2 linked regions of the Arabidopsis thaliana genome follow. The protein of the gene in region 1 interacts with the protein of each later gene in a pairwise test. Each region holds a gene or a part of one and is shown on either strand. Other genes may lie near its edges.

Region 1 (7,123 bases):
CGGTATGCTGACAAATTCGTGGTCGTGGTGATGATTCCTGGTTAAAAGTATTCTTAATCTCGGTTCCAATTACATCATATGATCTCTCGTGTGTATATATATTACATTGTACATATTTATTTAATTTCTCCTTCGCAAGTTCACATTAGATTTTTATAATTTGTTCTGTTTAGAGTAGTGTTTAGTCATCATTAGAGACATGAATGATGATTGATTTGTTTGATTAAGTGGATAAAAACTGAAAAGTCTCTCACATGAGTGTTTAAGACAAGCATGTAAATACCATAATCCTAATAAACTCCATCCATTACATAATGCATTGTTCATGTTTAATATTAAGCACTGGGCTTGTTGAACTCTCCCGGATTTACTGGAGAATGAAGACCCATGGATGGCTCTCTCCTCTCAACCTGCATTGTCTCACGGCGCCTATCATACCTTGGCCTAGGACGGGGTCTAGTATGACGCTGTTCCGTGAACCTGTACTGTGGTCTGGGTATGACCTTTCCTTCAACGTACAAGTCACCTGAACATGAGAGCCAAAGACAGATGGTATCAGTATTAAGAACCATATCTCAGTACCCAATCATTCAGACAAAATCTACAAACGTTACACACCTCCGTAGTCTTTGTTTGGTACATCGAGATAGGAATCCGGCAGCACCCAGAGAACACCAGGCAATGCTAATGAATCACACAACTCTAGATCAGATTTCTCAAACAGTAAAATATGTTCTCATTTTATAGTACTAGAGACAGACAATAACTGCGATAAAACAAAGATCAAGAGAAGTTTCCTCCTAGCTGTTGAACAGAGCAGTACCAAACAGAGAAAGCCTTTTACGATAAATCTCAACATCATAAGTAAACAACTAGAAAAGCTATGTCAGAGCAAAAAAGGCTTAAAAACCTAATTGCAAATATGGAGAAGTTGATACCTTTGACTTTGCAAGAGAGCTCTTCAGAGATCAAAGCACCAAAGCCAGTGTAGGTCGAAGTACAAACAGAGTAAATCTTCTTCTTGGCCTCTTCCTCACTATAGTTTAACCATTATTACCCACAAAATGCAAATCCGTCAATCCCCAAATGCACAAGAAAACATTTGAGAGTCAAAATCAAATGAAAAGGAACTTGCCAGCCAAGGACGGAAGTTAAGGTTTTGACATAAGAATTGATCATCTCTTCTTCAGTAGGTTTAGGATCAGTGAACTCCATGACGATGAGCCAGTGCTCATAATCGCACCCATCAAGAAGAATCGTCTCCTTCGGCGGACGGTTGCTCCAATTCGGCGAAGGATCATTCAGCGGCGAGTATCCGGACCCGGATGTCTTGGGTCGGGTCGAGATGTAACACGGGCCCAGGCTGGTTCGGGAAGAGGAAACCTTTTCAATTAGAGGCATGGCGAATCGAGAACGAGAAGAGAGCGTAGGAAATGAAGAAGAATATGAAGTAGAGGAAGAGAGGGTTTTGTTTAGGAGTGTCGATAATGTTCGCCGTGTGCTGATAAGAGCCATCGCCGGTGAGGGTTTCGGCTTCTGTTCTTCTTCGGTCCTTCTCTTTGCAGAAGCTTTGAGAAACTATATGGGCTTAGTGGGCCTTTGATTTATACTTTTTAGATGGGCTATTAAAAAATTTCTCTACATTAAATTCCTTAGTTTAGTAGTTAAAAGTTTCCCAACAGAAAAATACTTTAAATCTTCTTGTCAAATACTTCAACACTCCTAATTGAAACACTTTCAGTGTTAAAAAAATGTTTCAATTATCGCTTGTCAAATTGTTTGTTCATTCTTAAGTGTTTTCAGAAAGAAAATTTCGTCCTCGTTAGCTATAAAACGTATTCATTTTGTATTAGCTTTCTTAATGTGAATATGACGTCCTAAGTCAAATCACCTAATCTAAAATTTTGATTTGAGTTAGCAAAATGTCCATCAAGTTAATTCATGGATAACTTTTCCAACCTATATATGGTTAGTAATTAGTAATTATCTTTGGCTTTTTTTGGATGCATATAAAATCACAATGACGATAATAACGATGATTATCAAAATCAAAATGGTTACTGTATTTACTATTTATAAAAAAAGAAAACATAGAATTATCTCTCCAAAAATAAGAAAAGTAGATAAACATTTCTGAAATTGCTGTAAGGTCAAAAGTAAAAAGAAAATTATCCAAAAGAAAGGTTATGCGACTTTCCGTAAATGGAATTGTTGGTATGAATGCGTGTATTTGTGTTTTAGAGAGCTATTCTTGTTGATGAATCTCTGAGGAGCAGAGCGAGATAGAGGAGAGTGAAGGAACATCATGGGAAGCAGCACGGGCGATCTTGTGACACGTATCCAATCAGCTCACCGTTTCGATCACGATGCCTTGTTTCGTTTTGCCGCCGACAACGTCTCTGGCTTTCCGACCAACCCTTCCCAATTCAAAGTCTCACAGGTATGTTTTCCAATCGCCGAGGTTTTTTCTCCGGTAAGAAAGAAACTTTTATCTGACTGTGTTTTGTTTTGGTTTGGTTTACATACAGTTCGGACATGGGCAGTCGAATCCAACGTTTCTGATAGAGGTTGGCTCAGGGAGTTCCTTGAAACGATACGTTTTGAGGAAGAAGCCTCCTGGCAAGCTTCTTCAATCTGCTCATGCTGTTGATCGAGAGTTTCAGGTATCAATCAATTAATAATCTTTACCTCTGTAAAATTCATTGTAACTGTTCATACTCGATTTTTGAAGAAGATGAAATTTTGTTGTTTCTAGTACCGTTTTGAAATGCAGAATCATTGTAACTTTTTGTGATGCTGCTTATAAGAGATACGGTATCAACTAAAGGTAGATGCTTTTTTTGCTTAATACTTTGATGGTGGTTGGTTTATGTAGGTGCTTCGGGCTTTAGGTGAACATACACAGGTTCCTGTTCCTAAAGTCTTCTGCTTATGCACTGACCCTGCTGTCATTGGGACTGCTTTTTACATTATGGAGTTTATGGAAGGACGTATTTTCATTGATCCAAAGTTGCCGGTAAGATATTCTCTGTTATGTGAATGTGTATGTACGGTTTTTTTAGCTTGAGATGTGACTCATTGTAAACGAAAGGTGTAAATTTGTGTGTGTTTCATCGGTTTTGATTTAGAATGTAGCACCTGAAAGGAGAAATGCGATCTATCGTGCAACCGCCAAAGCCTTGGCATCTCTTCACTCTGCTGATGTGGATGCCATTGGTCTTGAGAAATATGGTCGGCGAGGCAATTACTGCAAAAGACAGGTTTGTTCTTTATTTGGGGCTGGTGAATTTCCAAATCACTACTCACTAGTTTGATGTTCTCTTAATGCTTATATGCTCTTGCTAAAGTTTTTTCTTTTGGATACCTCCATTTCAGATAGATAGGTGGTTCAAACAATATTTGGCTTCAACAAGTGAAGGTAAACCTGAAAGGAATCCAAAGATGTTTGAGCTTGTTGATTGGTTACGCAAAAACATCCCCGCGGAAGATTCAACTGGAGCAACATCAGGCCTTGTCCATGGAGACTTTCGCATTGACAATCTCGTTTTTCATCCTTCTGAGGTCTTAATACTTTCAAGATCTTTTGTTTTCTGATCCTTGGATAGTCTCGGAGACTTAACTGAAAATATCTTAAACTGTAGGATCGAGTTATTGGAATAATTGACTGGGAATTGTCCACGCTTGGGAACCAAATGTGTGATGTTGCATACAGCTGCATGGTAATAACCTATTCTTGTTTGTTGTATTGTACTCATAAAGCAGTTTTCTTTGCTTCCTGCTCTGATATACAGTTCATTTGTGTTGGCAGCATTACATTGTGAATGTTCAGCTCGATAAGGAGCATGTTAGTGAAGGTTTTGAAACTACTGGGCTTCCAGAAGGAATGCTTTCGATGCCAGAATTTCTCTTAGAATACTGTTCTGCATCGGTATTGTCCTGCAACAACATGTAGTCTTTAAAAGGAATCAAGTCAGGTGTTCCTTGTACATTGCCTATATTTTCTCAATTTCTGTTGTAGTGACATATTGGCAAATGAACTTTAGGGAAAACCATGGCCTGCTGCAAACTGGAAGTTCTACGTAGCGTTCTCCTTATTTCGGGCTGCTTCAATCTACACAGGGGTGTACAGTAGATGGTTAATGGTATTCCCCGGGCATATTTTTGAATTCTAAGATTCTTTATTATGCAGTTGTAGAGCCATTGACATTGTGTTGATCATGCAGGGGAATGCTTCTGCCGGTGAAAGAGCGCGAAATACAGGGGTTCAAGCTAATGAGCTTGTAGAGTCTGCCTTGGGTTATATTGCACGTGAAAATGTTCTTCCAGAACACCCTCCATCTGGTAATCGACCTCTTTGAGATTCAAGTTTGTTAAGGATAACTGTTTATTTTACATTTCTTATATATGGATGCAGTTCAAAGAGACGTGTCTCCGTCGTATGAAAGCCTTGTGGATGGAAGCGGGAGATTCATCCCCAACAGAAAAGTATTGGAGTTAAGGCAGAAGTTGATCAAGTTTATGGAAACTCATATCTACCCAATGGAAAACGAGTTCTCCAAACTTGCTCAATCAGATATGCGATGGACCGTTCACCCTCAGGAGGAAAAGTTAAAGGAAATGGCAAAGAGAGAAGGCCTATGGAACTTATTTGTTCCTGTATGCATCTTTTTCGCTACAAATCTCTTATTACTTTTACCCTGATTGAGACTGTACTTATTGATTCTTGGTTCTTGCAGGTAGATAGTGCTGCTAGAGCTAGAAGAGAACTGGCGGCTACCGAGAATAAACATAACCTCTCGGGCAAGTCTTTTGATCAATTGTTTGGTGAGGGCCTCACGAACCTGGAGTATGGTTACCTTTGTGAGATCATGGGTCGTTCTGTTTGGGCTCCACAGGTGTTTAACTGTGGTGCACCAGATACTGGAAACATGGAGGTATAAAAGCCTGATGTTGTTTACCGTTCCAAGAGTTGTCTCATTGCTTGTTACTTGTATTTATATAATCTGTACTATCTTGTAGGTGATACTGCGGTATGGTAACAAAGAACAAATTTCTGAATGGCTTATTCCGTTGCTCGAGGGAAGAATTCGTTCTGGATTTGCTATGACTGAGCCACAAGTTGCATCGTCTGATGCAACCAATATTGAATGCTCTATCCGAAGGTAAGAGATTTTCTTTATATTGATATCTACTTTCATTCGAATTCTCAACTGAACAAAAAAATGAAAACATTTGAAAGCTATATGTCATCTTCAATTTTTCTACTGGTAACTCCCAAAAAATGAGACTCAGTCCGCAATGTTCCTTATAGCTAATTCTGATGTTGATATAGACAAGGTGATTCATACGTCATTAATGGCACAAAATGGTGGACAAGTGGAGCTATGGATCCCAGGTGCAGAGTCCTTATTCTCATGGTTAGTTCTCTTTCCTTGTTCTATTTCTCTCTTAATCTATCTATATATGTAAATACACACACATGAATTCATATCTGTGCTATATAGGGAAAAACTGATTTCAACGCCCCAAAACATAAGCAGCAGTCTATGATATTAGTGGACATGCGGACTCCAGGTATAAGTGTGAAGAGGCCTCTCACAGTGTTTGGTTTTGATGACGCACCTCATGGACATGCTGAAATTTCTTTTGAAAATGTGGTTGTCCCGGCGAAGAACATTCTCCTTGGAGAAGGCCGAGGATTCGAGATTGCTCAGGTAATACTACAAAAGATTCACAGATTCAGGGCTTGCAGTAACAAAGAGTGTAAGGATTGTGTATTTATCGGTTGCTTGCGTTGTTGTTTGTTATATTAGGGTAGGTTAGGCCCTGGAAGACTGCACCATTGCATGAGACTAATAGGTGCAGCAGAGCGTGGAATGGAGCTAATGGCTCAAAGAGCTCTGAGTAGAAAAACTTTTGGGAAGTTCATTGCGCAGCACGGTTCTTTCGTCTCTGATCTTGCAAAGGTAAACGACACTGCTTTTATCTCCCAATTGCTTCTTATGTTCTTCTTATATGAGTGGTTGTCTGATACAGTTACGGGTAGAGCTAGAAGGAACCCGATTGTTGGTTCTAGAAGCTGCTGATCATCTTGATAAATTTGGAAACAAAAAAGCTCGAGGAATTCTCGCAATGGCCAAGGTAAAAACTGTTGTATTTTGGTGACATTTGTTTTGCGCCAGAAATTGACAAATACAGATCTTGAAGAAGCAAAATCATTTTGGTACTCAGGTTGCAGCTCCAAACATGGCATTGAAGGTACTAGACACGGCAATACAAGTTCATGGAGCAGCCGGTGTATCCTCGGACACAGTTTTAGCGCATTTGTGGGCTACAGCTAGAACACTGAGGATTGCTGATGGACCTGATGAGGTTCATCTTGGGACCATTGGCAAGTTAGAACTGCAAAGAGCTTCAAAGCTTTAAAGCGTTTTGGGATATGCGAATTCGATTCTCAGAATAAGATATCAGTTTTTTTTTTTTACATCATTAATAAAGTTGTTCTTGGGTCTTTTAGTACAAACAGTAAATCTGAATAAATTTACTACTAGATCTTATCTGTTTCATAATGTTAATACTTTATAATATTAAATCTTACTACGAAAACGTATCTTAAACTAAAGTCACAAAAATAATGTTCTTCTCATTCTTCTTTTTTGGTTCTTCCAAAAGTGGATCAGATTCTAAACAACAACAAAGCGATGGAGTCTGGTCAAAATAATACAATGTAAGAAAACAAATGTCCAAATAGAAATATACACAAAGAAGACGGGCATGTGTCTTTAGTTGCAGGTCTTTCTACGATCCTCTTCTGCTTCGGCTGCCAGAACCGTGAACCAGATGAGATGGTCTCCGGCTTGTCTCTGCTCCTTTAAGTTTTTGTGCCTCCAAAACCTCAGCTTCATCCATCAGCATTGCTAACTGCACAACACACAACAGGTTTTAGACCCAACCAAAAAAAAGCATCATCCATGAGAGAGCTTTATTTATGAGGAGACACATACCCGGATCTTGTTCTCCTTCTGCCTATCTTGAAGTGCGTTAATGGCAGGACTCAAGCTGCAAAAGCATGAAGTTCATATAACGAATGACAAAACCACGTATCAAATGTTTTAACACGCTT
Region 2 (3,487 bases), on another chromosome or scaffold:
TTTGTAAATCTTTTGGTCTTACATGTTAAGAGTAAAAGATGAAGAATTGGAGAAGCATGTCTAACATCCTAAAAACAAGCTATATCCGGTTGATTTGCTACGATTTTGTTTTTGTGAAACGGTGGCTGTAAAGCGGTGAAAAACTTTGCTGTTCTCCTCTAGTATAAACATTGACCTTTATGATGGTTCTACGACTTAGATCGAGTTGGTCTCCAATGTTAATGTTCATCGTACTATTAAAGGCCACAAAATGTTGATCATCGTGAGATTATACCGTGTATCACTTTCTTCTATAATTCCAGAAATTCTTATACAAACACATATTTAATGTCCACGCGCTAATGACCATATGGTAATATTCTCGTGGCATCAATATATTGTCTTAAAGGTAGAGATCTCTGCAAATTGAAAGAAAAATCAACAAATAATTTATCCAGTATAGATTGTCCATTTAAACTTGTCCAAACGGTTCACTTTTATATTTGCCCTTAAAGTAATGAAAAGAAATTGTACCAATTTGCCCTTAAAGTAATGCAGACGCAAATAACTTATAAATGAAGCTCTCCTTTTTTAGTCATGGCCGTTCACTCCAGATGAGATCGTGTCTGAGAAACTATCATTTTTTATCTTCTCTGTCTTCCATGTTTTTTTTTTTTCATCATTTTCATTTCCTTTTTCAAAATCATCAATCATGGTGGTTCTCTATAATTCTTACAAATCATAGAAATTCTGAGATTATCTCAAAATTCTCTATCATAACTTAAAAACGAAGGATATATTAAGAATCAACAACAGAACATTGCTGCTACAATTGATCTTCTTACACGCTTTATATACTTAAACTTGAGTACTTGGACACTCATCAATGGACAACTATGCTTCAGATGTGAGTTACTAGATGACCACTTGGACTAGAGTGCTTGGACACTTATCAATGGACAACTATGCCTCAAATGTGAGTTATTAGATGACCATTTGGACTTGAATGCTTGGACACTCATCAATGGACAACTATGCCTCAGATGAAGTTACATCGACAATGGCCTTTTTGCTGCTACTCGCGTTCTCAACATCACGAACCGTTTCAAGCCCAGATTGCTTAGAAGGTAACTGATCATGGTTAACATCCTCACTTTTCATTGTAATCGATGACAGAGATTCCTTAATCAAGGAGAGAAATAAATGGAACCAAATCAAATAATTGTTGAGAGACAGGGAAGATGATGATAAATCATATGAAATTGGGCTTTTAGTTTTGATTTGGAATATTGAGATTCCCGTAAAAAATTGGTTTTGATTTTGGAAAGAGAGAGAAATAAAGACGATGGAGAAAAGAGTTGAGAGAGAAAATGAGGAGAAAGCGTTGTGGTTCAGAGGGCAATTTGGGAATTTTGATTTGGTAAAGTGCCTTCTCCTTTCAAAGTGCCTAAACGGGTAAATAGTTTTCTAAAAGTGTCTTATAATGTAATAATCTCAATAAACAATTCAAAGCTGTATACCATTCAAGCCCATTATTCAAAATTTTGTTTGACTAATACTATTCAATCGGGTCTATGGGCCTCAGAAAATAATAAATGGGCCTTAAATACTTGGAAACAATGGATAGATCGATCTCAACTTTAAAATGCGTCCAAAAATATAAACAAACAAACATCTCTCGCCGTCAGGTTACATCTATCGCCACCGCAAAGAGACCACCGTCTCCTCCGCAATCTTCATAACCTAAACAACACTCATCCCCTGGTAAGCTCAATTCTCTAATCAATTCAATCTCCTGTGATGTCGATCTGTTTCTACTCAAGTTCAATCTCACGAATCCCTTCTTTGTTCTGTAAATTAGGGTTTCACGATTTGTGTGTCTAGGGATTCAAGATCCCTAATATCTGATCATCTAGTAATTGTGAAAGTATTGATTTTTGTTCTTTTGATTTGAGTTTAGCAATTATTGAGATTTCTTTGAAGTTGAATACCTTTTCTCAATCATTATAAAAGTATTGATTTTTATGTGTGTTTTGTGGCAAAGGTACTTAAACAATGGGAAAGAGGAAATCAAGAGCAAAGCCTGCTCCTACGAAGCGAATGGATAAGCTTGACACAATCTTTAGTTGTCCTTTCTGCAATCACGGGTCTAGTGTCGAATGCATCATGTAAGATGAATCACAATATGTGAATGAAAACAATTGAAATCATTCACTGAATCCTTTGTTGTTTGTTTTCTCAGTGATATGAAGCATCTGATTGGTAAAGCAGCTTGTAGAATCTGTGAAGAAAGCTTTAGTACTACTATCACAGGTTTCTTCGATCTTTCAAGTCGATATAGAATCGGGTTTTGTGGTTTACGTATCTGATCATTCTTTTTTTTTGTTCTGGTTCTTGTAGCTTTGACTGAAGCTATAGACATGTAAGTTACACATCTATTTTCAACATTATGTTTTGGCTTTTGTATTTCTCTAAAATCTCTCTGGTGTCTTCAAAATGAATGCAGTTATAGCGAATGGATCGATGAGTGCGAGAGGGTTAATACCGCGGAAGATGATGTTGTGCAAGAAGAGGAAGAAGAAGTAGAAGAGGAAGAAGAAGAGGAAGAAGAGGAGGATGATGAAGATGACCATGTCTCTGTCAAAAGGAAGTATAACTTCTGAGACGAGTGTTTTATCGAAAATCATGTAAGTCGTCGTCTTAGAGTTATCTGCTTTATGTTGTAATATCTATCTGATGAAATCACAAGAACAATCTTTAGTGTTTTCTCAGTGTCTGATAGAGAAACATACATTTAAGTGAACAATCTTTAATCACAATAACAGTGTATGATTATGATTTGTAAGTGGATTTAAGGCTTTGCTTAATTGGTTCCAATCCATACATTTTATTACAACCAAATAAAAACCTAATGTCTTTCCTTACTCATTGTAGTTATCTACCATATTTGGTTCTTTCTGTTCTACGTTTGCTGATTGCGTAACATCAGCTCTGTACTCATAAAATCTAATTACAACCAAGAAGAGGATGAAGTTAAGCAAATTAAGTACCGCGAAGAACATGTAATAGTTATCCAGCCTAGACTCATTCAAGTTGTTTTGAATCCATCCTCTTCCCTGCTTCTTTGTTATCTGAGACACTGACGAAAGCAAAATGCTGCTCATGAAATACCCGACTGCCATACTTGTGCTCGTATATGATGTCCCGAGGCTTTTCATACTCTCTGGTGCTTGATCGTAGAAAAACTCCAGCTTTGCTATTTCTATGAAAGCATCTGCCAAACCCATTAGTACATACTGTGGAAGCAATGTGAAAATGCTCAAAGGAATTGGTACAGCGGTCTGGTGGGTTAGCCCGTGTTCAGCAGCGACCTTGAGCCTATACCGTTCGGTTATGGACGCGATGATCATGATTAGGATGTGAAGGATCATACCGATTCCCATTCGCTGAAGCAATGTGATACCTCTTGGATTTCCGGTTAGTTTTCTCATGAACTTAACAAAGACAC

Evidence for each region. The genes of interacting proteins can lie anywhere in the genome.
Region 2: the proteins of IBR3 (region 1) and AT5G46030 interact in a two-hybrid assay, tested with the Arabidopsis thaliana proteins (one large-scale study listed by BioGRID).

Annotation. Positions count from the first base shown.
Region 1 is NC_003074.8:2,144,229-2,151,351, forward strand, and holds IBR3 (acyl-CoA dehydrogenase-like protein), read left to right. Parts: upstream 1-2,014; 5' UTR 2,015-2,305; coding exon 2,306-2,440; intron 2,441-2,528; coding exon 2,529-2,663; intron 2,664-2,875; coding exon 2,876-3,016; intron 3,017-3,128; coding exon 3,129-3,260; intron 3,261-3,375; coding exon 3,376-3,561; intron 3,562-3,641; coding exon 3,642-3,719; intron 3,720-3,808; coding exon 3,809-3,928; intron 3,929-4,043; coding exon 4,044-4,142; intron 4,143-4,223; coding exon 4,224-4,341; intron 4,342-4,414; coding exon 4,415-4,656; intron 4,657-4,736; coding exon 4,737-4,934; intron 4,935-5,019; coding exon 5,020-5,162; intron 5,163-5,332; coding exon 5,333-5,417; intron 5,418-5,504; coding exon 5,505-5,714; intron 5,715-5,813; coding exon 5,814-5,966; intron 5,967-6,036; coding exon 6,037-6,141; intron 6,142-6,231; coding exon 6,232-6,426; 3' UTR 6,427-6,623; downstream 6,624-7,123. Other genes in the region: AT3G06780 (glycine-rich protein), read left to right, coding at 1-11; MORF3 (plastid developmental protein DAG), read right to left, coding at 336-526, 619-684, 939-1,032, 1,132-1,515; BRCC36B (Mov34/MPN/PAD-1 family protein), read right to left, coding at 6,799-6,921, 7,005-7,059. UniProt on the Arabidopsis thaliana protein: Involved with IBR1 and IBR10 in the peroxisomal beta-oxidation of indole-3-butyric acid (IBA) to form indole-3-acetic acid (IAA), a biologically active auxin. May be responsible for catalyzing the first step in IBA-CoA beta-oxidation.
Region 2 is NC_003076.8:18,668,497-18,671,983, forward strand, and holds AT5G46030 (transcription elongation factor-like protein), read left to right. Parts: upstream 1-1,554; 5' UTR 1,555-1,743; exon of another isoform or gene 1,744-2,023; 5' UTR 2,024-2,034; coding exon 2,035-2,147; intron 2,148-2,221; coding exon 2,222-2,292; intron 2,293-2,379; coding exon 2,380-2,401; intron 2,402-2,485; coding exon 2,486-2,642; 3' UTR 2,643-2,900; downstream 2,901-3,487. Other genes in the region: AT5G46040 (Major facilitator superfamily protein), read right to left, coding at 2,901-3,487. UniProt on the Arabidopsis thaliana protein: Transcription elongation factor implicated in the maintenance of proper chromatin structure in actively transcribed regions.